Styela clava: one gene and its partners. The protein of the gene in region 2 binds, or shares a complex with, the protein of the main gene of each other region. Links are inferred from orthologs where the notes say so. Each region holds a gene or a part of one and is shown on either strand. Other genes may lie near its edges.

Evidence for each region.
Region 1: dnaJ homolog subfamily B member 13-like (region 2) and ropporin-1-like protein share a complex: the UniProt entries of both Homo sapiens proteins name them as parts of the axonemal radial spoke complex. The link is inferred for Styela clava from reciprocal best matches to the Homo sapiens genes DNAJB13 and ROPN1L.
Region 3: dnaJ homolog subfamily B member 13-like (region 2) and leucine-rich repeat-containing protein 23-like share a complex: the UniProt entries of both Homo sapiens proteins name them as parts of the axonemal radial spoke complex. The link is inferred for Styela clava from reciprocal best matches to the Homo sapiens genes DNAJB13 and LRRC23.

The regions. Positions count from the first base shown.
Region 1 is NC_135258.1:5,478,687-5,489,657, reverse strand, and holds ropporin-1-like protein, read right to left. Parts: upstream 4,498-10,971; 5' UTR 4,402-4,497; coding exon 3,757-4,401; 3' UTR 2,960-3,756; downstream 1-2,959. Other genes in the region: uncharacterized protein LOC120338783, read right to left, coding at 19-244, 2,266-2,366, 2,782-2,923. UniProt on the Homo sapiens protein: Functions as part of axonemal radial spoke complexes that play an important part in the motility of sperm and cilia. Important for male fertility.
Region 2 is NC_135258.1:21,470,349-21,480,361, reverse strand, and holds dnaJ homolog subfamily B member 13-like, read right to left. Parts: upstream 3,712-10,013; 5' UTR 3,689-3,711; coding exon 2,753-3,688; 3' UTR 2,595-2,752; downstream 1-2,594. UniProt on the Homo sapiens protein: Functions as part of axonemal radial spoke complexes that play an important part in the motility of sperm and cilia.
Region 3 is NC_135264.1:17,882,430-17,894,962, reverse strand, and holds the start of leucine-rich repeat-containing protein 23-like, read left to right. Parts: upstream 1-7,010; 5' UTR 7,011-7,121; coding exon 7,122-7,518; intron 7,519-11,340; coding exon 11,341-11,463; intron 11,464-12,334; coding exon 12,335-12,518; intron 12,519-12,533. Other genes in the region: endoplasmic reticulum resident protein 29-like, read right to left, coding at 2,200-2,485, 2,978-3,128, 3,978-4,061, 4,613-4,751, 5,562-5,684. UniProt on the Homo sapiens protein: Essential for sperm motility and male fertility. Plays an important role in the proper assembly of the third radial spoke (RS3) head and the bridge structure between RS2 and RS3 in the sperm flagella.

The DNA of each region.
Region 1 (10,971 bases), about 16 Mb from region 2:
ATTATGAAAAGGACTCACGAATTTTCCCAATCCTTTGTAAATCAGACAAATGTTGCAAAGCGTCCAGATATCTTTTGTCTTTATAATCCCACCAATGAAACTGTAGGCCGTCTAATTGCTTGACTTGCATACGTAACATTGACTTCGTTATCGCTGACTCGACCACATTCCGAGTCATTGGACCTGCACTCGGAACCATTTTCGTAAACGCTTGCACAGAATTCTTTGGATGAAACGAATGACGCTGAAAATAGAGTCGGAAAAGTTTTAGTCAAAATGTCTTTTGATAAAAAAATGATTTTCTAGAATTATAAGTCCTATAATTAAATAGACAACAATTCGGTTTTTGAAATTTGATCCAGAACTAAAAAAGGGGGTTGTGAAGCTGATAAGACGACCTGAATCATATGGGATGGGAACCACGATCTCTCGTCCAGTGACCTGTCCATGTCGGGTTTGATATTAGTTAGCCAGTTATTTGTTTTCAGAAGCATGTACTTAATGGTGTAGGAAGCCATAGCTGACCAGCAGTTACATGAACCACCCTACGGCAGCGAGGAACCTGCGAGCCCTAGTAGTGTAATCAAAGGTGTAGCACGATATGCCACACCGCCGGGCCGATTTATATATTGAAATAATAGATTTACAATGCATTCATTTTGGTATTGGTTTTGGTAATGACCGGCATATGACGGTACGACCAAGGGTCGTGGAAGTCAGCAAGATTCCCAGATTCACACAATAATCAACGAGAATAAGTACAGCATAGTCAAAAGCAATTGTTTTTTTACAAAGCAGATATGCACAAAAGTTTTGCTTTCCATATTATAGGCCCTACTGAGTATATAAAAACGTATATAATCAATAGTCGTATATACAACTTCATCCTATTCCTTTTTCCTGTTTCTGCCAAACCTGTTTCAAATTTCCATGTTATTTATCAAAATCATATTGCATAAGATGTAGGGTAATTATGATGATGATACAGTAATTGAAATAATACGGTTTCTACAGCCGTATAGACAACTTCAACTAATTCCTTAGTAATTATAGGGTTCTCGAAAACTAGTCAGTATCGATAATGAAACTTAAAAATGCTGGTAGTGTAGTTATCAGCAGATTAACAGTTATACTTAAATAAAGTACTTTGAAACTCTGCAGGCATTTAATGGGAGCTTTAATTGAGAAAAACCATAAAAAAATGCATCTTATCTGGATATTGCATTATATCTTATCGTCTGATTTCACCATTTCGTTATCCTTTTGTTGTATTTTACCTATTACTTAACTAGGTACTGCAATTAATAATTCATCTCAATTGATTTAGAATATTATCAGATTTTTATTCGAAGTGATTCAACGGTCTATTGTTATTACATATAAAGCTGCACTAAAAAAATGGTTTCAAATCTTTGTTGATAAAAACTATTTTTCTGAACTTAAATTTCCAACAACCGAAGACTAATTCCCCGGATACAGTCAGACTGTGACATTTTTCAGACGAAAATATATTTTAACGTTGCCACATAAACCAGTAATGTGATTAGTTAAACATACAGACAAAGGTATTTTTATCTAGTTGAAATTCAACTTTTAAAAATAAGTCCTATTCTAATTTGAATGGCAAATAAGGGAAGTATAGTACTTTCCACTCCCATCTGTCTTATCAAGGGAGGCTTATATAAGTATAAATATATAAGTACCGTACATGTACAGAGTATATATTAACCTTTTTTAATAATGTGCCATACTGTGTGGGACATTGCCACATACACCAGTAATATAGACAGAAGTGTTTTATCTAGCTAGTCTTTCTCATGTTTCAAAAATAAGCCCAATTTGTATGGCTATTGAAGAAAAGTGAAAAATGCTTTATTAAACTAACATAAAAACCCTAAAGAGTATAAGCACATGACTCCCTATTGTAAAATATATATTTGCCATTTCTTAATATTAGCTTCTTCTATACCAGTATACCGTATAAATCGTCTAAAGCCTTGTACCGAGTGAGTGAAGGCGTGAAATGGGCTCTTAATTAATAGAGGGTTCTTTTGTGTAATGCAGTCGGATTTAATAATAAAAAATGCTGACAAATGTGCATACTTCAGCTTCCTATTTGAAAAATTTTCCGGTGAATAATATTATGTCTACTATCCACAAATAAGACAAGCAATAAAGGTAACAAATAATGTAAAAGACCATTCTATAGAAACAGAAAAAATTTATAGGCCTTTATCAAAAGTCAGTCAATTTCTATACACTCACATTTTTAATAAAATTGCCAAAAATAATTTCTGCAGGTCCGTAGATATCAGCCATGTCAAAAGTGGTATATCCCGCTTCACAGTATTTATGCATTGCGTTCACTGAAAAAAAAATGAGAGTACCAGACAATGAATCTTGGTATACAAAATCTCTGAGCTAAATATATAATTTATGACTTCTTAATCATATTTAAATGCGTGATAAGGTGACAAAAAAAACTAAAACTTTTAAGCTGTGTTTCCCCTTTGTGGAATTCTTCTCGTGCCTCAAGTCAGAAACAACTAGCTAACAACAAAATACGAATAACAGACAGTAAGGCGCAAGTATGTTTAATTTAAATACACATTGAAAATATGAAAAAATATATTATTCCGATAACTATAGCTCCAAAATTCAATCACACTTTCACAAATGTTATTCTGTGATTTTGGTCTGACGAAATAGACTTACTATTGAATGCATAAAACTCTCAAAAAGCAGAAGAAAAAATAATCTAAAATAACAGAAAAAACTTACCAGCCTTATTTGGATCAATGTCTCCATGTGCACCGGAAACTTGCCACATTCCATTAATGAGTCTTGAAATAACTAATCCATTCTTAAGCCTGACTTGTGGCATAGGAGGTAATTTACGAATAATAGGTGGACTGGCATCCATTGTTAATAGAGAATAATTCTATTTTAACTGGGATAATTTGTTCTAAAAAAATACACAAATGTGGTCAACTAAAATATACACGAATCAGAACAGTGTTGAAAATATAAATCATAAATGCTAGAACATAAAATTATAAGTGAGTGGGACACCGCCAATTTATAGAACTCTTCGATAAGATTATTGACTTAAAATTGGATAATTTATTATAAAAATTTTCAACCCAAAACGACAAAAAATGGCAAACGGTGTACACTGTTTCAAATTATGAATAGATATCATCTTAAATATAGCACATATTTTTTTAAATATTTCCAATAGTTTCCAAAGTTCAACATTCGCCGTACTAAAAGCCTTCCAAGCTAAAATGGGTCATTTGTACACTTTCAAATATTCCAAAGAAAATATGCTTATACATCAAATAGATGAATTTAAAACAAATTTGACATAATAGAACAGTTTCAGAAGTTTGTCATTGGAAATTATAGAAAACTGTGAAGCGAAAAAATAAAACAGTGGAGAGGACGAATTTTTAAAAGCAGATGTGCTAAAGTAATGAAATGACTTCAATAAAAATTACGGAATTTGAGATATTATGGACACATAGACATTGCGGGTCCTATCTACAATTTGTTATCAATGCAGAAAAATAAAAACAGTGTGTTATTTGAATGTACAAGAATATGAAACAGTCAATTGTATGGAACTTTTTGAAATTATAAGAATGTAGTTCTATCCGTTTTGCAGCATACAGTACAAAATAAACCCCTTCAACATAAAAAAATTAAAATTGTACAATTATTTATTATAATACAACATCAATAATGTATAAATAATTATCCAAGACTTGGGCATTCTGGGCTCAAGAAATTTCTTGGCATCACCATTCCTGCTTGCTTTTCGACGTCATCTTTGAGATGAGCAAGAACAGAATCTATTTGAGCTTGCGAAATTTCGCGGCTGAGACTTGCAAGGTACTTAAAGAGAGTGGTGAAACTATCGAATGAAATTCTGCAGGCGCCACCATCAGGATCATCTGTCAAGATTTGGCATACGATTCTCATAGCTTGGGTTACGCTTTTTCCTCCAAGATGGCTGCATGCAACTGCGAAGAATTTCAAGAATTCCATCTCTTCAACGAAATTTCCAGCACTCATTATCTCTTGTAGTTGTTCTTTAGGAAGGCCAAGTTCTTTCCACTTTTGTTCCAGGAGTTCAGACCCGATCATGTCCTTTTCGTGGAGTTGTTGATATAATATGTCGAGTAGGCCAATTGTTAATCCAGTCGCGCCTGGCTCCAAACGTCGTTTCACAGGGAGTGCTTCTCCTCTAGAAAGAGCAGAAAAGTATGCTGCCGACCATGAAAGTACGTCGGGAGGTTGGGTTCTGATTGCGGCTTTAGTAAATTGCTTTAAAATATCCGGTAGCTCAGGTGGAACATTAATTTGCTCAGCACAATACATATTTTCTGGAGGAGGCATCTTAATTCTAATTCACAATACAATATATTTTACTTATATACAAGTTTTCAGCTGTGAAGTTTAGAAACCAAATTCTTAATTCTGTAATTTGCGAAACACCAGACTCTAAATTTCAATTTTTACTACCTTGAGCAATTTAAAACTGGCACCTACGGGTCTAAATTAAGACTATATTGGCATTATCTCACTGCATTCACAATCCTAATCTGTAAATACCTAGCCAACTTCTAGTAAACGGAAGACAGGGCAACCATGTTTAAACATTACTCATGCTGTACTGAATTCTAAATGCCAGAGAACTACTACATTATCTGACAAGCGTTATATACTAAAGTTCCGGTTGAAACATTAACCCCAGACTACCACAATGTAAATATTTTATGAGGGTTGTGAGGCTGATCGTTATGTCAGCGTTTTAAAACAGGGTGACGGTTACGAGAAATCGGCCTTGGTTACGAGGCCGAGTAACCATAAAAGAATAATTCAATAATTCCTTACTGCGCTAATATTTCTGAATTTAGACAAGGTCATATTATAATAATATGTAAAGCTAAACAAGCTAAACGAAAAAGTCCGACCCTACCGTCGAGAAACGACGAGCTTCGCGCACAGGCAAGTCCCGCGAGTTATCAGGGTGACCATGACAACCGTTGAATTGGTGTCTGCGGGTCGAATAAAAACGATATAATTTGGGAACACTCGTATCGAATCTATTGCACAGTTTCTGGACGTTCATTTTATTTGAACGGATATCTTCTGAATGACATTATATGTAAAATACAATCGCTTCCGGCATTGACGACTTAACGCGGATGCGCACACCAAACCTGTCTTTCGAGAGACTAATGAAATTCTTTCTACACGCTACAGCTATGCTTATCGAGACACGTTTGCCGTGTACGGCGGTTTTAAACGGACTTTGACCTCATTTACACACAAGTGCACTTGTTTCTATTTTCGTCGCTCGTCTGGAATGACTAAATAAACGCCGTCGATGGCTCATGGCTCAGTACTGAGCAGGTACTGAGTAACTATGTGTTTAAAATACAACGTCGTTGGCTGACAGATCGATAGGTAATTTTTTTCTTTTTGAACGCAGCGGTACAAAACAACAACGACATACAATGTATGTTTATTTGCCTCAAATTTGTAAGAGTATCTGCACAATAATTACACAGTATAACAAAACAGACACACGTAGCGAAATTGGGAATGTTGTTAAAACTTCAAATGAGGTTTGCGCTTGAGATATTCTCACAGAACGCTACTGACCGACATACCATTTTAAAATCAGAATTAAACATATTTTTTAATGAAGTACTTGAATTTAAAATCCTATCTATTAGGCTCACAACCAACTTAAAAGTAGTCTGAAATGCCTGTTATTAATACTACATACCTGTTGCATTTAAGCGCTCTGGAGAACGTTCGAAATATTATATTAGCTCTTCTTTAGCAATCAATATACATAGGCAAGCATCGGGGTTGAAATAGCTTTGTACTTAACGAGAAATCGCGCAAATTCGTGATATTCAGTCGCACACAGGCTCGTGTTCCACCATTTTAATATCCGCACGAGAAATAATCCAAGAAAAAGCTTGCGTCTGGTAACAATTTCTGCGGCGATGTCCTTGATTCGCTATCAGTAGCGTTCGTTAATACCACCGGCAAACGGAATTGCTCCTAAAGATCCCCGCGAACTGCAAAAGCACCGAGTTAATCAGTATGCATAGTTTTTTTAAATCGAAATGGAATGACCCATTCCATGGCAACAATCCCCGTTAACTAGGGTGACCATATTTCCAAATCCTAAAAGGAGGACACATCGTTTGGTAGAACCATCGATATCTTAACATTAGTAGAACCTTATTTCACATGTGCCTGAGATTATACATCTACTAAATTCTCTAGGACTAAATATAGAGGTGACGAAAATGAAATAATGCATTTTTGCCTTTATTGAAAAAACATCTATAGAAGAATCAATTTATTTGTCCTTGGATCATGAGTATTTGGCTTTTCCTTTAATCTTTGTCAACACTGCCGCGTAATTTTTTGCAATATCGTAAAAATGGCTTGAAGTCTACGCAATTCAGATTTGGGATTGTATGAATATTTGTTTCTTTCTTCAATCGTAAATTTAACAGCATTAAGACAAGCTTTGATTTTAATAATGAAAGCCCCTGAATAATCACTATCCCTTATTTGTTCATTAAACACAGCAAGAAACGACTGCAAATGATCAACGTGCAACTGTAAGCTGAGCTTGTCTTCATTCGCCAGTAGCAAGTACCGTAGCGTAGCCGCAAGTAATGCACCCCATTTCGCTATCAGTTCGACCTTTTCTAAATCATGGATACTCTTGCTTTGGTTCCTGGGTAAAAAAAGGCTTTTCTGTTTTGCAAAATTTACTGAAGTTACTGATGTAATTTATTGGCGAAATCGAAATTTTACCATTGCCAAATATAAGGTGAAATGACGTAAAACATAATTGCAGAACAATCCACTTTTTACGTCATAAACGAGTATGTATAACAATTAGCGTATGCATTTAATCTAGACTCCTAGTAGAGTAACCCCGTATGATATGCTATCACAACGCAATTTATTGCTTGTCATATGTCTAATGATAATTACAAGTCTCTACTTGGTTTAAAATTTTCTTAACACATCGAAAACGGTAGATTATATCATAACAGAATTTTAGATATTTAATCCCTTGAAAAAGGAGGACATTTTGACGTTTCAGAGCGTCCTCGGAGGACATAAATTTTTTAACGAAAAAGTAGGACAAATCCTCTAAAAGGAGGATGTATGGTCACCCTACCGTTAACTGCAAAGACACCGAGTTAATCAGTATGCATAGTTTTTTTTTTAAAATCGAAATGAAATGGCAACGATCCCCGAGCATAGTTTTTTTTAAATCACAATGGAATGGCAATGGAATTTCAGGGTAAATGAAACAGCGAAAAAACAAATCATCTCGAAATGACACCTCTGAAAGGATGAATCCTAACTATAATAATGCCTCGTCGTATATGACGTAAACAAAGATATATTTAAAAGGTAGACAACACCAATAATGACTAAAAAGTAATCTGCATAGTGCATAAGCAATTGTAAAAGACATATAAAAAAAGGAAAAATAGGAAGAACTTTAATGTCTATACAAAAAATGTTTGATCAGTTACAACAATGTTTTCGTAGTTCAGATTTTCTAATTCTTGAACCACATTCCTCACGACTGGTATGAAAATCCCAATAGTCCATCCAGAGTCAAACGAGTTTACTCCGCCTCAACACCCCCGTACAGTTCCTATAACAGTAGAAATTAATATCGCCAGCGTTTCCGCGGCACCATATGGTTCCGTCAGCGCAGTGCAGAGGTCCCTCAAATTACATCCAAATCCTAGCGTCTGTATTATCATTTTATATTGTTCAAATATATCCTAATCAAATACCGGACCTCCTAAAGAATGTGCACCAAGATGGTGCAGGTTGGGGTTCAGGTTATGCGACATCTTGGTGCGCATACTTCAGGAGTACCCACATACCTGTTTGGCTTGCCAAAGCTTTCAGATTAAAGATAATTTTGTTTTGTCAGCCTAGATTTGTTTAAATAAATATTTATGTTTAATTCGGGAAGTAAAAATAAATTTGAATATTGCAACGGTTCTTCGAGTCTAACGGGTGTTTCTTTGGGATTCCGATAAAAAGGTTGAAAACCACTGGCACTGTTTGTTGCACTTGAATTACATAAGATCCCAGTATATTTCATACAGCTTCTTCGGCTATGTCGCCATCAGGAGTAGCCTGTTCGGCTTCTTGGTTATTGTTTTTACAAAGCGGCAGGCACGGAAGAAATCTTTCTCTCCAGTCGGCAAAACAAAATAGAATGCATGATATGTTTACCAATGCACCAAAAGAATGAAATGATAGATTCGCTCCGATTACAATGACAACTACAAGTATATCTGATAGCAAGGATACAATCGTCGCTGCGATTGCTCTTTTCATAAGGTGTCTGAGATCATCGGAGAATCTTTCATTTTGTCGAAGATATCTTAATCTACGTTTATGTCTAATTAACGGGATTAAAAATAAAACAAGCAATGCTATTTGTATTTCAAGTTGAGCTCCCAGTATCACTGAAAAAGCCGACAGCATGACTTCAGCAGAGAATAGAAGTCGGAGGGATATTGCTAATACGGTTGTACCAATGCGGAATACAACTATAAAACATCCTTGAAAATATCTGAACCTTCTTAAATGCTTGGATGAGAGGCGTTTCACCGTGGGTTCCTTGTAAAACAATGTTTGTCGAAGCCATAATACCATGTCGAGCATCGTTGCAACTATCGTGAATGTTTTGCAGTTAGACTCCACAATAGGATCAGTAATAAAACTACATCCGACCACGCTAATTTCCATGTTATCGGGCGCAACGGCCAGCTTGTAGGCAATCAAGGCACAAGAACAGACAGCCGCGGCAACTCCAAATACCCCAGCGATGATAAGAGTTGCATTCATACTAAAGCGCAGATTTGCTGGTTTGAAAACCTCTTTCAAGCTTCCACTCCATGTTTTATAAATGCCTTTCCTCACGAAGACCACGATTTGACAGACCGTGATATAAAACACCAGTACGACAATCACAGAACTCATGTAGATATTGGAAATTAGCAAATTTAAATTATTAATATATTCTGACATCACGGTTGCCTTGTTATTACTAAAAATCTCAACAAATACCTTGAGCTATTTTTTAGCTGAAACATCAAAATTTATATTGTTATATTTGTATCTGGCCCTCCTGAATTGAAGGTTGCATACCCCTGGTCTACCCAACTTATTACACCCTAGACGAGGTGTCGGACGTGGAATTTAAACCCAATAAGTGTACAAGCCGCTATGCCAAAGAAGTTTATTCCAATGATTTACCCACTGGGCTACCGGCCATCATCTACAATAAAAGGCCAATCTTTCGTTATTTTAACTAAACTTTAAGGAACTCCATCAAATACTCTGTTGATTTAAAAATTACCGATTTCATTCTGGAATCATGGGATATCCGTCTTTGGCCTAAAATAACTGGTGCTCCAAGAAGTATTGTCGCACAACCTGATAACCCTAACCTGGTACACATATGTTCAGGTTGTGTGCACATACCATCTTGGTGCACATACTTCGGGAGCACCAAATAACTACCGGTAACAGAGGATCCATCGACAAATGATCGAGTTCATGCTGGAATAAATCGCGTAATACATTGTTTTGATTTTTGTTATTGAGATGAGCATCAAACCAGGAACTGCTGTAAATTCTTTTGGACGGGAGCGAACATCGTGACATATCGGGTTACTGATCTGTATAATTACATTTGTCAGTGGAAACACTGCAAAAACAAAATGGAATTGGAATCCATTTGAACATTAGTCAAACCATCAATCACGGAAGTGTGAGTATAGTTCATACGCTGTAATCAGTATAGAACAGGAATTTCATATTTATGCCTGGAAGGGGGAAGCCACAATCGACCAGCGACCTTGTACAAGTAAGCAGATATGAAGTTGGATTTTTGTAGATGACACTTATTCGCGCCTTCCGCTTCGAAAAAGTCCCCGTACAAGCAGCCACTGATAACTCACTATAACTACGGAGCGACTTTTATTTGGTAGAACATGAATTTATTCCCGGTTCGGTATTGCCTATCCAATTTATTACATGCTCTAATCCCTGCAATCTTCGATATAAACGTAACCGCGTTAACCGCGTCATACAAGGAACTAATGTAAAATCTGTTGCAGTATTCTGTGGACGGAAGCGTAGATTGCGAGAGTTCGGGTTACTAATCTATATAATTACATTTGTCAGTGGAGACGCTGCAAAATAAATGAATTGGAATCAATTTGAACATGTGTCAAGCCATCAAATCACGGAAGTTTCAGTATAGTTGTTACGCTGTGATTTGGGTTTCACGAGAATTGCATACGCATGTCTGGGGAAGCAGAAGCTTAATTATATGGCGCATCACGACCTCTCGTTAGGTTTAGGTTACTTGCTCATGTTCAAGTATGGGAATTTTTGACCCGTTGTTTGTTTCGGATGCATGGACTTGGAGGCGGAAGACGCCGTTACCTGCCATCGACCCACATCATCAGGATGACGAAGAACTAAAGGTTCGAAACAAAAAAAACCGATACTCCCTTGTGTACCTGGTTAGGGTTAGGCCATAATTTTATTACGATTTTCCTTATTGTAGTTCTAATACGAGTTTGGGGACAGTTACGAGTGTGTTAGCCAAGTAAATATACCCCTGTCCACAGCCTTCCCTCCCTTTATACAACATGATGTAAAATAGGCGAACAAAATTAGTTACCTCCATATTGCTACACATACTTCTGGAGCGCCAAAAATTCAGCCTTAGTGATGATTTTTTTTGCTCACAGTAAATGCCATGTAAATACAACCAAGAATGAAATAATCGCTGTTTAAGAATTTTGGTTTAAATTCACGTATACACAACCTTACTCACGGTGTAATAAAATGAGTTGGCAATACAAAACTGCC
Region 2 (10,013 bases):
GAATCGATTCGGAAATATTCGATTCGAAAAAAAAATATTCGGTATTCGATTCGAAAAAAAAAATATTCGAAACTTACATCCCTATCGGCAACCTCTTGTCGCTCGCGGGCCAAAATTAGGGGTTGCAAGTCATTGGCGGGACGCCCGTATTTTTAGAAAGTTGAAAACCGGACGGATGATAATTTTTATAATAAAAATCAAGCAGTGATACATCTCTCGAATAGAATATAGATTTATTTCCTCATTGCATTTTATCTCAAAAAATTTCATTTGAATAATTTCGGCGTCATTGAACCCTTTGCACTTAGCCTCAACTTTACTGCATTTTGTTGCCATTTGTCTAATAATAATTAAATTATAGGCTCATTAAACGAGTAATTGTGAATTATATACTTGTCAGGTTATGATATAGTTTAGTCTGTTACGTAAAGAATATAATCGTCAAACAGCTGTTTTATTACTATAATTCAAATTCAGTGAAGCGTCGCGGGCCGGATTAAATTACTACGCGGGCCGGATCAGACCGGCGGGCCGTAGGCTGCCGACCCCCGGTACGATCTCTGCAACAACAGGTCTGATGGTTGCCGACCACTGAAATAGCCTATCGGACCGCATCCAGTAGGCTACTAACGAAATTATTTGTACAGTGCTATAGTTCTTTGATATTACTATATTCGTTTTGCAGTTTAAATATCAAATGCAAAAACCTTTCACCCGAGATGAGCCTTTTCCGAAGAATAATTGAGTATTTACGGAAAAAACTCAGTCGTTTGACAAACGGCGACTCTACTTCACCTACATGTAAATGGAACTTTGCGATGTCATCTCTGGTATTGTGTCCCAACAATGTCGTAAGAGATGAATCGTCATTTATTCAACTTCATTTAAAATCCAAAACGGTCATTTTTTACAGCAATTATGCGGAAATAACAAAAAGCATGTGGCATATTTCCCAGTCAATCGTTGATGAAAACTCAACATTACGTACGCCAAGCACGGGTGATACATCAACTGTATTTTTGCAAGAAGTTGGGTTACAAATGGCAGTTTCTGTGGAGTCTGTCAAATATCGACAACCAATTAAAACAATCGGGGAAATTCAATACTTCCATCTGCACAGAAAAACTGTACTATCTTCCATCACTCCCGCGATATTGAACGGTCATGAGGAAAAGCGGAAAAAAACTTCTCGAAACAAAGAAGAAAAATGTTGGAAATACCAATTTATCACAATATACGACATTCGTGCGGTTTCAAGGGACATTATTCAACTACCGAGGCAACATCTACGAATGGTTGTCTTTGAATATGAGTCCATCCGCGAAAAGCTTTTAAAGCAAATTAAAGTGAACTAGAAATATGTTTCTTGCGGAATTAAAATTAACCTGAGATTATTATATGCGTGTCGCTTTCTCAATAAAAAAAAAATTGAGCGATGGGAAAATCATTTTTTCAACTGTAAAAATTCAATACCATAAAACTGTCCAATATGACGTCCCTAATCCTTTTGTAATTTATGCATGCGACAATTTACGCCGAATCTTTTTTCGATGTCATTCATCACTGTTTATGCTTGATTACATTCCTTCTTTTTTTCGAATTATTCTTTATATTTTCAATAATAATTACCCAATCCTATCATGTACAATTGGATATGACTCTTTTCTTTCTGGTGAGTTATTGATGAAACATGTTTCTCATTGTGTGTGAACGATCAGATTATGAGATGACTACCGTGATAAAACAGCAAAGCTATTAGCGATGAGGCGTGTCAGACTTATAGGTGAGTATCAGCATGGCAAAAAGTATCGAAATGCCACCACCTTAATTGCAACTCATGTATTCCTCAGAGTCCGATTTCCTTTTAAATGAAACCTCTGAAGGCAAAGTCAAATATAGATAACATCTCCGGAGACAGATTGGTATGTGCGGATGGATTGAAATGTTAGCGTTTGCAATATCTACTGCGGCAAGACGAAACTTTACATTGAGCAAATTGCCGCAGACAGTATAGGCCGTCTGTTTAAAATATGCGATGGAAATAACATCAGTCTCCTAGAATTTCTTTACTTTTTCTGCATAAAATTGTAGCCCCATCATGCTACAACGTTACAAAGATTTCTTATAAAATCCAGGCCGTGACGTTTGAATGTCTCTCTGACTTTCGCGTTGAACATGAGACATAAAAATGTCCGGGTTAGTATAGTTTGGCACTTTGGAATTTATGTAGTCTCATTTTGAATATAAATGTTTAAAAAGTCAAATGTTACAGTGAAATACAGTAGTTTCGAATTTAATTTGAAGTTTAAGCTAAATATTTTTGATTACTGAGAAGAATTCTTACCAGTAATATAATTTTTGGACTAACAATTCCTGTGCCACAAAAATTCAAGTTATCATTTGACTTTTACAATGTGTCAACAAACAAACCTAAAAAGGAATTACAAATCTTAAAAGTTATTCCAATGCAAGAATAGTATTTCTCTCACAAAAACAACCATGCATATATGTTAGGTATGCAGTTCTAACTGGCTCAATCAGCTACAAAGTGGGTACGATTTGATCTTGTGCCACATTGAGAAAACAAACAACTATTAAACTGAAAGAACTGGTGTCTTATGTACTCATAAGCAGATGAAGATGAATGTCATACAACAAAAATGAAACACTAGAAATTGTACAATACGTATAACTAATATATAAACTATTATATACAAGCATGTGAAAAATTGTGTTAAGAGTTCAGTAAAATTTAAACCAGAAGTGCTTGCCGTATAAGTTGTTTCTTTTCTGGGGTCAACTTTTCTGGAAATTGAATATCAAACTCAATCACCATATTCCCTCGTTCTGATGGTCTTTTAGAAAAAGGCATTCCTTCCTTGGGTACAACTTTTTCATATTTTGGATGAACGATGTCATTGATTGGTATGTTCAAAAATCTGCCATCGAGTGTGGGTACTTCAATGCTGCACCCGATAAGTGCTTTTCCGAGTGGTATCTTTGCAACATATACCAAATCATTACCTCTTCGTTTGAATAAAGTGTGGGGCCTGTCCTGAACGACAAAAACTATATCAGCCGGAATATTGTTTGGACCTTGATCCCCTTCTTGTGGAAAAGTGATCTTGGTTCCTGCTTTCCATCCAGGACGAACGTTGATGGTGAGGATTTTGTCTCGAATGCTAGAAGTGTGCCCATCTTCATTCATAACCCTCCGTGAGATTTTCATTTTTTTCGTACATCCATGATAGATTTCCTCTAATGTCAAATGAAGTTCTCTTTCAATAGGTGAATCTTGCTTCTTTCTCCCTCTCCCATGAATTCCTCCAAATGCATTCATTATATCAGGTTCTCCTAGCAAATCAGCGAATGGATTTGAACCTCCAAAAAAGTCTCTGAAAACTTTTTCCGCATTGCCATGAAAAGTATACCCATTGGTAAATCCCCCTCTATCCGATGGAATTCCACCTTTCAAGCCTTCTTCACCAAACTGATCATAGGTAGCTCTCTTCTTATTATCAGCCAGAACATCATACGCTTCTGCTATTTGCTTGAATTTTTCTGATGCACCTGGCTCTTTGTTTTTATCTGGGTGAAATTTCAAAGCTAGTTTGCGATAAGCTTTTTTGATGTCACTATCTGTAGCATTACGAGTGACACCCAACACAGAATAGTAATCAACACCCATCCTAAATATTTTTTTAATATTTATCTGAAATTTAACAAGAAAAATATAGGTTTACCTGAATTTTATCGCAACTGATTGAATAGGATTAGTTGTTCTGCAATATCCATATGCTCAGACCCTAAATCTTACTTAAAAGTGAATTCTCATAAAATTGGGATATTTCACGATTATTAAAGAACTAGATTCGAGAACCGAAACGAGGCAGAACCATATATCTATACTATTTGTACAAACCAAACCGAGGTCGGGGTAACTATCTGGCACTTGGGAACCGAATATTGATATGTAGAATTGAAATAAATTAAGCATAATTTCCTACTCTAGTCAGGTAAGAAAAACGAAATACAGTAAAAATATTCTTCATATGAGAGTTTTCACCGATATTTCTGAAATTTAAATAAAATATGATATCTAAATAATATAAAAAATAGCTAGACTGGAGCAAAACAAAATTTATTGTCAGAACTTTATATTATGGCAGCTGCTTGAATATTTTGAAACGAAATAAAGATTTTGAAGATATGAACTAATTTTCCACATGGCAACTTGCAGAGACACTAAAAAATAAAGCATGAAATTTTGGAATGATAATATTTGGGAAGAATTTTTCTACGATGATAACATCAACATGCAGATGTGCTTGATATTGATATGATCTTGATATTATGCTCGCGTGTATCACAATCACTCTAGGACCTTCAGTGTCATTTGACTGTTCCAACAAATAATATACACTTATGGCCTATGCGCCGTTTTAGGTTTGTTGACAAATGAGGGTAAAACATGCAACTGCATAATGCATTTCAATACTGTCTGCAGTACACAGCTTTCCAGCGCAGAGGGTGACCTAAGATGGTAATGAGTTTGTTTTTCAGCTGCATTGGGAGTAGTTTAATCATTATAGCATATAAATGGGCCACATGTGGATTTATAAGATAGGATTTTCATATTTATCCCGGGGAGAGGAAAGTTGATGAAACAGCTTAATGACATACCACGGTCTGTCTTTCGGTTACCTGTCCATGTCAGGTATGGGATTAGTTTGTCAGTTATTTGTTTTAGATTATGGACTTAAAGACATAGTTACCTTTGGGTTAGAGTTCTACATAACTAATAATTGCATTGTACCAGTGCCGACGGGTTACCTAAGTATGCTGGCCCTGTGGCAAATATGCCCAAATGCCCTATAAATCAACATGCATTTGTATGTTATTATTTTAAAATAATTAACGAAGCAATATATGAACCTGAAACCACATCCGTGGGCGCTAGCGCTTCCTGAAAATGCATTCGAGCGAAATCCATCTTGCATGTTGGGAAAATTGTGATTGTTCGCTCAGTATAACTGACAGTCTGAAGGGTGGTGTAATGAAACAGCCACTGATAAACGGTGCTGACAAATTCTAACAGTATAAACTGACTTCGTTACCAGTATCTTCAAACTTGCATTTGTATATCAACGCCCTGACGCAGAACATTCAGGTGGAATTTAGATAATTGAACCACATTGCTGCGTAATGTCACTGATATTCGCAAATCATAGACCTTATATGGAAACAATGTCTATAAGCCTGAAATAAGTAATAAATATAACCCAACCATTTGTTTCCTGTATATGCGATTCAAAAATATATATTGTTTATATATCTGTATATAGTCTAGTCGTGGGATGTCCGAAATATGGTGTAGACTACCGTACTCCGCCGCAGAAGTTAAAAGTTGGATAGTACATACTAGTTATTGTGATCTGTGTTAAATTTCTCATGAAGAAAGGCCATGATATCCCTGTATCCAGAGTGGCTCCATATACAGATAACGATATGCCATTTTGTGGTCTGAAAGTGCATAAACCTTGAAATACAATTTTACACTACAGTATTCAGGTAGAGCACTCGTTGAATATTTTAGTTTCGCAAGCTTATCTCAATTACCTTAACCATCCAGTAATCGAACCAATTTACAGATAAAACAGAAAAAGGTATTACAAAACGCAGTAACGTTAATTCGGGTTTCTTCGATTCTCGTGTTAAAAATTTAGGATAAGAAATACAATTAAATCATCCCAAAGTATACGATACTGAAATCTCAAGTAATCTATTAAAAACATAGTCAACCGGTACCAGCTGTATTTCCCCGTAAAACAAAACGTCAATGCACAAGCGCAGCCAGAGCGAAGCAAACTGAGTACAAGCTTGATGATAACGAATCCTCAACAGCGCTGGTTATCGTCCGTCGTTAGGACAACGCGCCATCAAGTGATAATTCTTGACCTTTTATCTTAATTGTTTTCATTTTTGACACTTTTATGACTTGGTTTTCCAGTAATTTTCTTTCCGCCAGATGAAAAGGAAATTAAAGCTTTTAAGTTTTAAATATTAATGAAGTTTCAGTGTTTTGCATAATTCACCACTAGAGCCCGCTACACTATGACACCAGTTAACCAAAGGGAGCTTGAGAGAATATGATTTAGGTATGTGAAAGAGAGGGTCTTTCTCTGTGGTTCCACGTTGACTATTCCTTGCTTACATTTTTCTACTGTTTCACTCGCCTTTGAAAAACTGCCTTCATTTTTATTAGTTGTACTTAAACTTAGTTTCAACTAAAGCTCATTTTGCACAGTCATTCCGCGAATCAAATAAAATCAGGTTTTGAACACCGCATTTTAATGAATGAATTCAGATGCTGCTGAATGAATGGACTATTCAGATGTTGAATCGTCTGCGTTAAAACGCTGTACAAATACCTTTCTCGGATCACAGTCAGCTTTAAGGTCCTTCAAGCATCTCGCGTCCCTTGATTTTTCGGCCCGGCTCGGTTTGCACAGTCATTCCGCGAATCAAATAAAATCAGGTTTTGAACACCGCATTTTAATGAATGAATTCAGATGCTGCTGAATGAATGGACTATTCAGATGTTGAATCGTCTGCGTTGAAACGCTGTACAAAAACCTTTCTCGGATCACAGTAAGCTTTAAGGTCCTTCGAGCATCTCGCGTCCCTTGATTTTTCGGCCCGTAAGAAACCATAAAATCACTGCTATTTTTTCTGTGAGCCTTGAATGTTGCATTCTTATAAGTTACGTATATACAGTATATTTTAAACCCTTCGGTAGAATATAATCATGAAATCGAAATTGAACACTGACAGAAGGCCGAGAATTTGGGAAGGTTCACAAAAAACGCAACGCATGAAAAAATGTTTAGACTTGTGGTTCTCAAACTGGAGTCCGCGAGGAAATGATAGGGGCGCCGAAAATACGAGAAAAATTTATCCCAATTCAGGTCTCCTGTATCAAAAAATGCTGATATTTTTTCAATTACATCTGCACTTTTTGCAGTAGTTTTTAAAAAAGCGGAAAACGAAAATTCGCACAAAAACAAGTAGTTGTGAGCATAACGTCACTTATAACGCATTTAAAATCATTATCCCTTTCGTCTCCACTTACTTATGTGAGCGTGGGTTTTCTACACTTGTTCAAATCAAGACGAAAGCAAGGAACAAACTTGATGTGCAAGATCATATGAGATAAATTAAGCTATTTGCGTACGCGAGGAGTGGCAGCTAATTTAAATGTTGTCCGAATAGCTCTATGCTATGTTCTTCTATTGTGTTTTCGGTTTGAAAATTGTGGGCGTCCGGGGTTACTTCAGGGAAGCATAAGGGGTCCGCAGGTAGGGATTTGTTAGAAAAGAATTGTTTCAAATCAATTGCTTAAAATCATGCTTTTTTACCTGTTTTGTTTTAAATGGCTGTGTTATTTGATTTTTTAGTATTAAATGGGTTAAAGCTAACACAGAAAACTTGCCAATCGCTTCTTATTCGCAATAAACCCTTCGAACACCACCACGAATATCGATGACTTGCCCGTACATGCATTTTCAAGCTGTAGCGCAATGCGTCCCATGACGTGGTTAGTAGAAGAAGACGCAACCGATAAGTTATTGCGTGAACCGCACTGCGACGATACTAGCAATCTTCTTGCACATCGCTCATGGGATTCGAAGCAGGGCCGGATATATCATAAGACACGGTAGGCTGAAGCCGAGGGGCTTCAAACCAAATTTTGTAATTCACGCAATTTAAAAATGTAACCGTGATGTACATAATTATGATGATACATAATACATAAACCGAAATAGTCATATTATGACACAGTTGCGCTGTTCTTGTCACAAAGCCTAGCCCCAGTTTGTCTCATCGTCTGAATCCGGCCTTCATTCGTTCGAAAATGCGAAGGTTGATGCCGAGCAAAGTGTATTATCCTTTATCGTATTAACGCACTTGTTTTGCCCAATTTTTAGGCGGTGAGCGGGTCCCTGATCTAACTGTTTTCGTATTGTAGTAGGCCCGTGAGCTATATTTCATAATTTTTCTTGCCTTTTTTATTCGAAGCGTCTCCATGGTATCTCGGATAAACATATATCTTACATATTCGAAATTGTTATTCCGGCAACATGCGTAGCTGTCAAAACGCACCATTTTGACGTAGTTTCACGGCGATGCCAGCCAGGGGAATTTCATTAATTGAAAAAACATAATATACAGAATAAATTAGGTTTAAAACAAGCCCTTGTTTTAAAACATGATGTTTTTTTAGAATTGATAAAAAAAAAAACTTTATCCGCAGGCGCATTAAAGTTTGACAATCACTAGTTTAGACGCACTTTCACAATAAAATAGACCAAACCTGTAAAATAAGATTATTATATTACAAATGTTGTACACTGCTATAAATAACTCGACATTAACTACATTAACATTTCGAAGTTTGCTTAATTTTTTCAACACCTGTAATGAATGAAACTTGGCATAAATATTCGCTCAAGGCTCAATCTCAAAGCGTTACGAAACCTTACCCAAAGGGATGTTTGAGACATGACTAAGCTTTCCAAAAACCACTACGCGGTTTAAATTAGTTGAGATTAGACCAGCCCAGGCATTTTTGTGACTGATAATGATATGAACATTTTGACCTAAATCAAGCTATCTAGAACGTTTTATTTTCCTACTCGCGGGGGTTGGAACAGGGGCAGCCGCGCCGGGCAGCACGTTATAGGTCTGAGTTTGTTATACCGCCGTAGTACCGTGTTTCCCCGAAAATAAGACAGTGTCTTATTTCAATTCTCTTCCTAAAAATAACACTAAGGCTTCTATTCAAGGGATGTTTTATATTTTAATTTGTCAAAAATAAAATAACAAAGTACAACGGATTACGATATTTTAAAATATGCAAAATATAAAAACCGATATCCAATTACTTACGAATAACACGTTTTGATTCAAAATATCTGCAAAACATAGATTATTAAGCATTTAAAACATGTAAGAGAGATTTCTTTCTATAGACTAGGTCGTAAAAATTTCGCGTTATTGACTAGGTCCTATTTTAAGGGGAGGGCTTATATTAAAATAATTCGTGAAATTCAGGCTAGGTATTATTTTCGGGGTAGGTCTATTTTTCGGGAAAACACGGTAGTATACCGTAAATATATACTACTACGGTTATACTAATAACAAGAGAGCTACGCCCAAATATATGGACACGTCTGCTCGCAGTACAGTACGGTTTACCGTACCGTCAGATCACAGTCTACAAATATATTCACACCAAGCGAAGCAGTACAGTAGGACACAAACTGGCGTCCGATGTCCGCAGAACGTTTAATGACGTCATAGCAAACACAAACAAATCTCACAGAGCTAACAGAAATATTTAAAATGAATAAAAGTAATAGCCTTCTGAAGAAAAATTATATCTTCAACCACTGAAAATTTCAAAGCAATTGGTCCAGTATTCGAAGAGAAAGGCGATTTCTTCAAAACGTGTCAAAGAACAAGGACACTAAGAACAACAAGAGAGCTGTGCTCAAATATATGGACACGTAGCGCCACCCAGTGGGAATAATTTTGATAACGTCATAGCTTGAAAAAAAGTAATAGCCTTCTGAAGAAAAATTTTATCTTTAACCACTGAAAATTTCAAAGCAATTGGTCCAGTATCCGAAGAGAAAAACGATTTCTTCAAAACGTGTCAAAGAACAAGGACACTAGGAACAACAATAAGAACAACAACAACATAATATTGAAACGATCGCTATGTCCACTACGTGTCCAACAATAAGAACAACAACAACATAATATTGAAACGATCGCTATGTCCACTACGTGTCCAACAAACATTTCACTCTTACTTGACCTTTAATTTATTCATTCACATGTATAACAACATCTATAATTTGTTTATTCCACGAAGTATTTTTGAAGTCAGGTATAAGGGTCATCATTATCAGAAATTCTCTCCGAGCAGCAGAAAAGTTTGACACACC
Region 3 (12,533 bases), on a different chromosome or scaffold from region 2:
GCTTGTGGCCCACTTGAAAAGACTCTATGGCCCAGCAGTGGGCCATGGCCCACTGGTTGAGAACCAGTGGTATAGAGTAAAAAGTAAGGTATTGTTGTTGATTCAAATTTAACTGAAAATGCAATAAAACAGTAAAGCAATCTTGTAAATATTTAATTAATCATTCAATTTTAAAATATCATAAGTTCCTTTCGCATTTCTTGAATCTCTCGCAGGGTAGTTGATACGTTGTTGACCAACGCTCAAATAGAGCGACACGAAGGCCGCACATTGGTACTGGTTCAGCCTTAGCTGAAAAGCATCATCGTGAAGGAATAAAAATTGCTTTCCATCATTTTCAAGTAAATATTGGGACTAGAGGTAAGATCGGGCCCAAAAATATCAGCTCAACCCAGGCCCGTGGGTATTAAACCAGACCCCGACTAATTGACTGAATTTATAGGCCAGAGCCCGAAATTTCATATTCTATTTAGGAGTTCTTTGAATTGTCATTGCAAGAGTTTAGTACAGTATGTGTCATGTTGATGAGGTAACTTCTGTTTTTTTTGCAAACCACGGTCTCTCGTGGCCGAAACGCCTCATTTAAAAAAAAGTCAGCGATAGAGAAGCCCGACTCGAACGTAATGATTGACATTCCAGGCCCGAATTTCGGGCTCCTGTTTTTAGCTCTAATGGAAACCCATTTGATATTTAAAAAAATGAATAAAATTAATAGCGTTAACTATATTGAAGTGCTAAAAAAACTTGAAATTGATACTATTGGTTGTTAACTTGGCATAACAATTTCGCGCACGTATACATTAACTGCTTGTCTATGACTGCAGAGGAGAGAGATAGATTAGCTTATCATTAATTTATTTTGTGTTTAATCACTTCTGATAGTCACAGCAATAAATTAAAATTAAGCAAAATATTAAAATAAATAATTCTGAATATCAAATAAAATTCAATTTTTTAGAAAGAATTTTTCACAATGATAAAATAGAATCTGCATTTCTGGTCATGGATTGTCAGGTCTGATCTACTTGTAAGACTCTTCTCGCACAAAAAATCGATAGAGCATGTCCAGACAGAATAATCTCATTTCAAAGCTGCGGTACCAATGCCGCAGTAGTAAATCTCACAATGCATATTCATATAAATGTTTGCTACAATTTGTTGACAAATTTTACAGAGTTTGAAATTAATTGAATATTCTGTGAAGTTCAAAAAAAAAAAATTATATATTTAAGGCTTCAAACAGTATGAATATTGGCTTATAAATTTCAGTGTTGACATAACTGAGTGTTTGCATGTCATGGTTGGTTGAATATCAACTATTTTGCAGAGGTTGAAGTAAAAAATACTTATAAATTTGAAATTTAAATACGATTACGTGTACCGCTCTGGGGTGTGAACAATCCAAACCCCTATCTGCCTCCAACCCCCATTCCCTTTACCCCAGCAAGATTTTAATCTTTTAATCAAGATTTTAATCTTTCTAAAAATAGTTCCATGCATGTCCAAGCCTAGTTTAAGCAAGTTTTTTTTTTTGAAGGAAAAAATTCAAAAATAAATATTTCTTCAGCTAAGTTTGAGGCAAGATAAAACTTGTTTTAATGATTGGCAAGGTTAGAATTTCAGACACATGAAAACTAAAAAATTCTAATTTAGAGAATAATTAAATTTTGAATATGCTACTTATTTCTGAACTAGGTGATAAAGAAATAAAACCCATGGTTTCCAGAGCATTTAAATAATTACTAATAACAGACAAATTTTAAATAAAATAAGACCGGATAATTCTCTCCCTTAACCCTTTGGGTAACGCAACACAGAGATAAAATCTATATATATAGTATGATTTCGACAATAGCAAAAAAGTTAGACAGCATAAAGATAGAATTATTATCCCGATCCCAAAAATTGAGAACGAGTGGGGTTCGCTGGCGAGTTGTAAATGTCCCCAATCAAAATGTTTATTCATCTTGTCAAATAATGTTAAACGTCCTTAAACACCTTGGATTGGTAACAAGTTAAAATCCTGGTCTGTGATATTCAGAAGTTGTTCTACGAACTTCCTTACCCCAAGATAAATATAAAAAAAAATATATAAAGGGTTGAGTATGAGGACAAATCTGATCTAACCTACGTTTTTCCTGATCTCTGAATGTCTTCGAGAGTGACCGACAGTCCTACTCACTCATAGATATTAAAGAACTATAACTCGTCTTTTATCCCAGAGCTAGTGGCCGCACTTAGCGAAAAACACTTCAGAATATTGACTTTTTTCTGTAGTTTTTCTTTCTTATTTTTTGCAACGTTATCCCCCTCCAATATCGAAACCATGCGATCAATATTTTTCTGTACGAAATCTCGCCCTTTTCCGATCATGTTTTTAACGATCGAAATATACATTTCGCCATGTTCTTTTTCCTCTGCTGTATGGAAATTTTCTACGACATTTTGTAGTTCATTGAAAACGGCTTCTTGAGTATCTTTTTGCCTAGAAAATATGAAATAAGAACAAAATGTAATAAAATTTTTCAGTTACCGCCCAATAATATACAGGGTGTCCAAAAAGTTCCGCCCGATTTCATAACATTACCAATTGCAAATTTGAATAAATTTGGTCGTATGATAAATGGGGACTACAACATTTAACATCTCGAAAAAAAAAAAATTATTTCATTTGATTATAAAAAATTTATAACTGGGCGAAACTTTTTGGAAACCCTGTATGAATACCCACAAGCACTGAAAAAGTAATAATAAATAAAAATAGAAGAATTGCTGAAGAGTTAAGAAATGCGGAGAGATGTGTGCAACTTTTTGACCCAGAAGTTGTGCCAATGGATGGAGTTGGAGATAACTCAAAAAGGTCCAATGTAATTTAACATTCCTGACTCATTTTTTTGGAGGCTGATTACAAGGACTGTATTAAGCGAAGTTCTACAAACCCCCTAAATCCTGGTGGTAATGATTTAGATATACAAACCCTCCTAGTGATGACATAAATTTTTCCGCCAATGAGTCCAATCTTTCCAAGCATCCATCAAGACCCACGTAGATGCCGTTCTCTCGAAGAAATCTGACAATTTCAAAGTGAGTTGTGCCACCGGAGTGTGATATAGGACTGTCAAAATCACCTAAAAATTGAAATTTGAGTTTATGAGATAAGCGGCTCCATTTTGACTGGAAATTCACGTCCCAAGTTAACCATCTTAAACTGTTTAGTAGTCTTCTATAACTTTGCCCAGAGTTGAGTCTCCTTTACTTCTGAGTGAGTGCCTGTAACTTTGCTCGGGTATGAATCTTCTCCAATTCTTTGTGAGTGCACATAACTTTGGTCAGAAATGACTCTCCTTCACTTCTGAGTGAGTGCATGTGACTTTGCTCAGAGATGAGTCTCCATTACTTTCGAGTTAGTGCCCCTAACTTTGCCCAAAGACTCTTGAGTACTTATAATGCACCACCCTAAGTCTATTCTGTATCTCATAGCATTTCAGTCGCCGAAACTTTTCTCCAAGTCTCCATTACACAAGTGCAGTTTTAAGTATTCTGTGGCGTCTGCAGCTGCCGCAAAACCATGGCGGTATTTCCATACCATGGCCAAACCTATGGCGACTGACTTTTTAGCTGCCACAAACCAATGTCGAGCTGCCGTTACCGCGGCAGCAAATCGAAAACCAATGGCAGGTGAAATTTTGCTGCCGTAACCGCGGCAGGTGGGTCGTAAAGACCTTTATGGTGACAAATATTGGGTAAATTGGAACGTTTTTCTTATAGATACAGTTTTGATGGATTTGGGATTAGGGTTAGTGTTTAAGTAGATATAATTCCACATGATCAATTAGAATATGATACATTAATTTGTGAATATACTGTTAATACTGATTACTGAATAGCGCTATAAAACCATGGCAAGAGCTGCCGCGGTTCGTTCGTGGCAGGAGCTGCCATGAACTGATAAGAACTGCGCCTCCCTTTACACTTACCTTTGAAGAGTCTGTACTGAGGATAATTATCCTTCCTGATTCCATATCTATTGGCCAAGTCCTGATTTTCCTTTTCACCGTACTCTGCAAGGAATTCAATGATATGAGTATTCATTGTATCAAGCATATATATGCCATAAAACATGAGTGAGATAAATTCTCGCTTCTACTGACTTTTTCATGTTTTGAAAAGATATTAAACATAGGCTGCACATCTGTGTCAAGTCTTTGCATTAAATTGGGCAAGTTATGCCGAACCAAAATTATCAGCTCGTAAAAGCCATATTCAGTGGTATGTTTCTGATATCTAAGATGTTGGCTCTGGCTCAGCGGTGTGGCGCATCGTGCCATGTATTAGGAACACACACCACTGTAACCTCTGATTAACCTGCGTGGGTTCTCTGAATCCTGCGGGGAATAATTATATGTGAGAGGATTGCTGGACTCCTCGTCGCTGTAGGGTGGTTTCACGTAACTGCTAGTCAGTTACGACATCCTCCACCATCAAATCCTTGCATCCGAAAACAAATTACTGGCTAACTAATCCCATACCCGGCATTGACTCGTAACCGGACCAGCCATTTTATAGGCTTTCCTCTCCCCCGGGATAAATATGTGAATCCTACAGTGATTACCATTTATTCCAACTTCTGCAATGATGAAATCTTCAGTTTTCGAGCTGAGCGTTGCCAGTTTTCTGAATTCTTCCTGATGTTCTCCGTGTGGATAAGCGTTGTCAAATTTTATTAAAATTGATTTGAAAGACTTGACAACCTGGAAAGATACGGATGAGCAAATCGTTGGTTAAATGTTCCGAGTTTCCTTACGGATTGTTTTGGTCTAAACAAGACTCTGAACAAGCAGAAATTGATATGAAAGAAGCCACCATGCTTTGAAAAACAAGAATGTCTGTGTGGCACTGTATTCGAGGTAAAGGACATTTTAAAATGTCAAAACGAAAATGTCAAACTCAAACTTCAATTTATTATATTAATTGCAAGCTTATTGATAATTTAACAAATTTTTCATAATTCTTTCATATAATTCTTATGACTTTATTCTTTCACGCTCTTTTCAGCTAACTCTGTGCTTAGTCAAGATCGTATCATGCCAATGTGAGACATGTTCTTTTAATTTGAGCATCTCTTCTTAATAATTAATTAATTACTCAGCAAACAAAAATGTTTGATACACATTCAAAAATGGAGTGTTTCTTTTTAATAATGACTCAGCAAACAAAAATGTTTGATACATATTCAAAAATGGAGTGTTGTGTAGTTTCGTCCGAAATGGCTGCTGCGCCAACCATAAAGAACTCACTAACGGCAGTGATCTTTCGCATATCGAAATCATTGCAACGAAAAAAAAATTGAGAAGTAGCTTGCTCAATTTCGGGTGATCGCTTGTGCTGTTGTGTGTCTCGGATGAAACTTTGTATAGTTTCAAAGGCCTTATTACGTCGTACTGACGTAACTTTCAGATCACACAGTCAGGTGGGTGATTGATATATACAAAATTGGTTGGGTGCTCCCGCTACAAGTACTTGAAGTACGAGACCACACAAGACCCCAAAAATGCTCTTACCTTATCAAAGGTCATGCTATCCAGAGACAAAGCACCAGCCACTGCTAGTCCATTGACTTTTTGAAGACCAGTGGTTTGTAACAGGAGAATTGCGACAAAAACTGTAGAATATAGTGACATCATGTTGTGGCCTGTTTATTGGTATGAAAATTATTTCGAAAGTCAGAAACACCTTTTTCTCTCTGAAACATAAAATAGGTTGCATAAGATAGGTTTCATCCTAAAAAACATGTGCCAATTCTGTTGAGACACATTCCATTTCTGAATACAGGAATATGATTTAGATGTTTCTTTTTCCTATTCAATGCTACACTGATTTAACGATAACATTAGTTCAGTATTATAGTCTACGACTTCAATTGGAATTCAATTCTAATACTAATACCAAATTGCCACATTGACCACAAAAATTAGGGCATTTCTGCATTTGTAGAATTTTAAGCAATAATTGTAAGATATCCTAATTCAGTAGTCTAATTGTTAGCAAAAATCCTAAAAAACACCTTATCGCGCAATGGTCTATTGGTCCCTATTCTTTTTGGAGCCAATGCCTCATGGATTATAAGTATTATAAATAAAAACTCACCAAAATCCACTCGCGAGTAGAACACATTAAAAAGAACAGAAACATAACCGACATTATATAGAAACGTGTCGCAAAATGATTCGTCAAAGCACAGGTGCAAATTTCACACGCCGGCTTGTTTATATTCAACGTTACTCAAGCATGAATATTACGTCATATTCCGCTGAAATTTTCATGGTTTTTTAGAATCATTTATTATAAATTTCGAATTTTTGTTAAAAAATATATACATTACTTAAGATAGATATATACATGACGTGATAGTATAAAAGTTGTCAGAATTTTCAGAAGTATGGCTCAATTCAAATCATATAGGACATAAAAGTACATGAGTATTATGACTTTGTGCACTTGCATACATGTTTGTGACGACACTAGTCTGATTTTTTTTTATTGAATCACTATAATGATAAATTTTAATCATGATCATAATTAAATGTGTCAAAAAGGCTGAAATTTTTTTTGAGATTATGCCTTCGTGGGGCTTTTCTCGTACGCGACATTTTTGTTTTGATTAATTCCTTCATTGAAATGTTTATTAATTGTGTTTGCTTGTTATAGTTTGTTAGTTTTTGCCTCTCCACCAATTCTCCAACGTATTTTATTTCGAAATCTTATCTTTATTTAATTTTGCTCTGTTTATCATCTCGTAGGTCAGGATAAATTAGAAAAGGAGAAAATAACCATATTAGTCGTGATTACGTTACGAATAAAATGATAGTATATTATTATATAATTTAAATTATATGATTATTTTCATTCAATTAATTTTTTTTGTAAAAATATTTTACTGTTTCAAGAAGGACAAGACCCCCTTCACGCTTGGTCAGTTTTCGCTGTAGATAAATTCAGCGTTGCTATAGAGACCACTGTGAGTTTGTTGTTTTTACGTCACTCACGTTCGGTCTGAGCTAATCCGAATAGATCTAAGTTCGTATAATAGTGAGTTATTTTGAAGTTTAATAATTGAAAAAATGTCAGATGAATCAGATGTTGGAGAGGAAATCACGGAACCTCGCACTACAGAAGCTGAGGGGGACGAAAAACTCCCGGATAACCCTCTAATACAAGACGTCATACCAGAATGTCTTTCGTTGCTTTGCAAGATAGGAAGCGGGCTAACACACGCTTATGTGCGCTTGGATGTTCACGATAGAGACATAACAGATATACAATTATTGAAAAGTTTTATCCATGTTCGTTATGTGGATCTTTCAGGCAATTTTCTACGGGACATCACCCCGCTCAACCATCTGACAAATATGCTGACACTGAAGGCTGATAAAAACCAGCTCACCAGCCCAAAACTAGAAGCCTTACCGTTCCTGCAGATTGCAAACTTTGCCAACAACAAGATCACAAGCACAGAAGGTTAAAAAGCTTTTATGTTAATAATAAACTATCTATAGGCGGTGTGGCTCATTGTGCTTTAAGCGTTAGGAATACGCTCGTCACCACATCTCTGTTTACTCTACCTGGGTTTACAGATTCGAATGTCATGCGGGTATGATCATGTGCGAGAGGATTGCTGGATTCCTCGCCATCGTAGGCTGGTTCACGTAACCGCTGGTCGGTTACGGCTTCCTCCAACATCAAGTCCATTCTTTCGAAAACAAATACCTGGCTAATTGATTCCATATCTGACACGGACTGGTAATCGGATGAGTGGGTGTAGTTCACCATATGATAAAGCCATCTTATCGGCTTTTCACTCCCACGGGATAAATATGTAAATCTAAGAATTAAACTTGAACGAAATCACCCAGCACTTTGTTCATTCTTGAGTCCCTGAATATGTAAATAAATGAAAGTAAATTGAAAGGAATGCTTGACCACATGACGAGTGAAAAATATATTAGGAAATTTAATGAGTGATTTTTACAAAACACTCAGTGGTTTATCTTTATTGCATAATATAGTAGTATTGACATTTTCTAACTCATATGTTGGGTTGTCCAAAACGAATCGAATATTCGAATGTATTCGAATATCAAAGTATTCGAATACCTTTTCGGCTGATTTTCGAATAATTCCGAATAGTAGCCACTTTTCGCCGTAAACGTGGTGTTTCGTTTTACGGGAATATTCAAACGACTTTTTACGCTGTCTCACGTATTGTAATGACGATGAAATAGAATCGGCATTTTGATTGTTTATATTCTGTGCGACGGTACGTCGCATAGTGTTGCGACATATTTGCACGTTTGTGCGGGTGGACATTGCCGACATTCGTCTACAAGGCTTTTAATTTACAAATTCATTTTCATTACGTCAAAAATTCGTCCAATGAGTCGCTTTTCTAGGCGGGGTGGGGGCGTCTAATTGAGAAAGTATGTTTATTTTATTTCGATGTGGCCTGCTTTTTATTCGCATGAGTCTTCTCAAACATGATTTGTGTAACCTTATATTTGGGTCTTAGGGCCTGCCAATCATGATATTTAATCGCAGGCCGGTTATCGTTACTTTAAAGAGAAACACGGCCACCGAGATAAAGTGATTTGTGACCCTTTCGTTTTGCCGATTCAGCAGAACACGACAGGGACAGGAAAACACAGCTGTGAAATAACCCGTGGACGTACAGTGTAGTACTTATCACATTTCAAAATTATTTCAACATTCGGGTTAATAGGTTGTCCAAAATGATTGCCGCTTTACAACTTAAATTTACCGCTCATTTGTTAAATATAGTTAAATGATCTGGTTCTAAACATATAAAATTATTAGCGCATATTAGCATAACTGAACAACAGGGACACAATTTTTTTACCCGTCTTATTGGGGCCTATATGGAAAAACCCCTTTTTTGAGTGCTAAAAATAGACATCGTCCTATTTGCCATGTGGACTTATTAGCCGGGAAATACGGTATTCATAGCCGTAATTGTTACGTATCAAATAAATAGTCACAAGTTGGAAAAAAAAGTCGATTTATTAGAAAATAATTTCTGGCAAATAATTTTGATAACGATAGTTAAAAGTATCGATCCTTTACCAAGATGATTTTTGTTGCGCAAAATAATCCAATCCATGACTGGTAACAGCATTTATTAAAATGTCATGCTGTATTAATTTAATTCTGTTCAACGTAACTCATGGTTGTATCGACAATCTGTGGACATAAAATGTGTGGTGAACTGACCGATATTATAAAATATTGATTCCTATTTTCATATTGATAAAATAATGAAAGTATTAATACCAAATACCACGGGTATTTGTGGTCATGAAATATGTAGTAAACTGCCCAATTAGAATTAAATTCTGATTCGTATTTACAAAATAATAAAACTATATTTCTAAAATGCAACGGCGATCTGTGGCCTTAAAATGTGTGGTAAACTGCCCGATTTACCAACATTTGAGTTATGATAATAGAATTAAATTAACACGGTAAGGCATTTCAAATAGAGGTATCGGTCATGGATTCGAATATTTTGCGCAGCACAAAATCATCCTAGTAAAAAGTCCATACTTTTAAATACAAACCAATGGCAACCATTATCCAAATTAGTTCCCAAAATGCGGGATAAAGTATCAATTATTTTCCAACGTGTGACTATTTTTTCGTGAGTACGAAAATAAGAATTAAAAACTAATTATATTCGGCACAATATCATGGCGATCTGTGGACATAAATTGTGTGGCAAACTCGCGATTAATATTAATTTTTGATTCCTATTTTCGTATTTACAAAATACAACGGCGATCTGTGAACTTAGAATGTGTGATAAACTACCCGATTATAAATAGTTTTTGATTCCTATTTATAAAATAATAAAAGTATTATTACTCAAACATGCAACGGCGATCTGCGGACTTAAAATGTGTGGTATAGTTCCCGAATATAATTAATTTTTGATTCGCATTTTTGTACTCACAATAACCAAAATAACTCATACTTTATCCCGCTTATCGGCAAATAATTTGGATAATGGTTGGTGTTTAATTAAGAGTATGGCCGTTTCACTAGGATGATTTTGTGTTGCGCAAATATTCAAATCCATCACCGATACCACTGTTTAAAATGCCTTGCCGTATTAATTTAATTCTGTTAACATGACTCATGGTATATAAAATATATACTGGAATATGAAATGCCTGGTAATGAAGCTAGGTTGTAACTTCTAGATAGCAGTTATTCCATTGCTTATTGTATGGAAATTCCTACATACATTTAGATAAGCTTCAATTAGTGAATTTTATTTTCGAAGTATTCGAAATTTCATATTCGAAAAAAATAATTTCGAATGTATTCGAAATAGTGAACTATTCGGTATTGGCCATCCCTGGTATATGGTATGATTATTAGGACAAGTTTCAACTAGTTAACTATTCTTGTTGTATACCGTATTTCCCAGCTAATAGGTCGCTTTTCTAAACCCAATTTTGTGGCCTGATTTTGGAGGGGTCGTCTTATTGGGCAGGTGAGCTTGAAATATGATTTGTGTGAAACTTATATTTAGTTTAATATTTTTTATTATATACCCGATGACGCCAAAGGGTCTCCAATCATGATATTTAATTGGCTTTATACGGGTAGCTGTTATTTGTCATATTCTTTTTAAAAACTGCCATGTAGTAATAACTGGTTGGTGTCATGAAGCACTCCCTCCCCATTCACGTCCATCGTTATCGGTACTTTAAAGAAAAATACGGCCACGGAGATAAAGTGATATATGACCCTTCCGTTTTGCCGGTTCGACGAAAAACGACACAGACAGGAAAACACAGCTGTGAAATAAACCCATGGACGTACAGTGTACTCCTATCACACCTTATTTAGATGTTATTTCAGTGTTTGGGCTAATAGGTTGTTCAAAATGATTGCCGCTTTTTAACTTAAAATTAACGCTTTATTTAAAAAAATAGTTAATTCTGGGAGTATGATTCTACCAAATAAACATGATCTGGTTATAACCATATAAAATTATTATCGCATAATAGTGTTTAGCTGACCAACAGTAAAGCAAGTTTTCTACCCCGTCCTATTGGACGGCTATATGGAAAGACCCTCCTTTTGAGTGCCAAGAATTGACATTGTCTTATTTGCCGGGTAGACTTATTAGCCATGAAATATGGTAATTAAACTATGTAACTTGGAACCGGACGAGAGTCCATGGTTCGCTATATGATTAATCGGTCTTATCAGCTTTGACGATTCCATTCAATTTATTATTTATTCATGTTTTTACAGGAGTTGAGCATCCATTACTCGAGCAGTTAAACTTGAATTCGAATCAGATCACATCGATATCTGGACTTCACCCAGGAACTCTGACAAATCTTCATACCTTGGAATTGAGAGGAAATAAACTAGGTAACTAATAGTTGAATACCTCGGCCATACTAAGGATCAGGGGGGGGATATTGTTTAGGAATCAAATTGTCCCTTTTTTTAGAAGTGCAAAAAAAACAGTTTTTGTATCAGTTTTTGTCCTCGACTTATGACGTTGTTACGTTCTCGAGACGCGATGTAACCCGAATTTCAGTGTAAGTCGAAACATTATACTGTACAGTGCCCAAATTACTCTACACATATCGTACTGTATTGTAAAGTATGGTACTGTAATAAAATGTACAAATAATGCAAAAAAGTACTTTATTAAAAAAACAGAAAACAATTTCATATCACATTATGAATAAAAGCAAATACTGTACAGTACAGTATCATCTTTTATATTTTTAATGGGGTGCGTTCGTAACCTCGAAACATCGTAAGTCGCGACCGTCGTAACCCGAGGACTCCCTGTATAGCAATTTTTCGTAGCTCGAAACGCTGCTAGCTGGTACGGTCTAACCTGGTAATTAGAAAGCTAAGTAAAAACGGTGCAACGATTTTGCTATTTTTGCATTTATTTCCCTGCAATTTTCTTATGGGAGCACACATGATGTTGCCGATTTCAATGGAGTTTAAAAAATAAAACAGGTGTAGAAATGCTGGTACAGCGTCTTATTTAGAGAGTGACGCGCCTAATAAAAAGAAATATCACTCTAATACGATTTCCTCCACTATCAAGTCCATGCTTCCGAAAACAAATAACTAGCTAACTAATCCCATACTCGACATGAACTCGTAACCAGACGAGAGGCCATGGTTCGCCATATAATTAAGTCGTCTTATCCACTTTCGTCTCCCCGGGATAAATATGTAAATCCTATCCTAACATGGAATTTGCATTATATTCCAGAGTCTACAGCTGGGATATACCTTCCTAATCTAAAGAACCTTTATCTTGCTGCGAATATAATCAAGTCAATCGAAGGACTCGAACGTCTTGAGAAACTCACTCTTCTTCACCTTAGAGATAATCAGATCTCGACACTAGATGGCTTCTCAGATCAAATGAAGTCTCTCCAATATATTAACTTGAGGTGACTTGCTCTTTT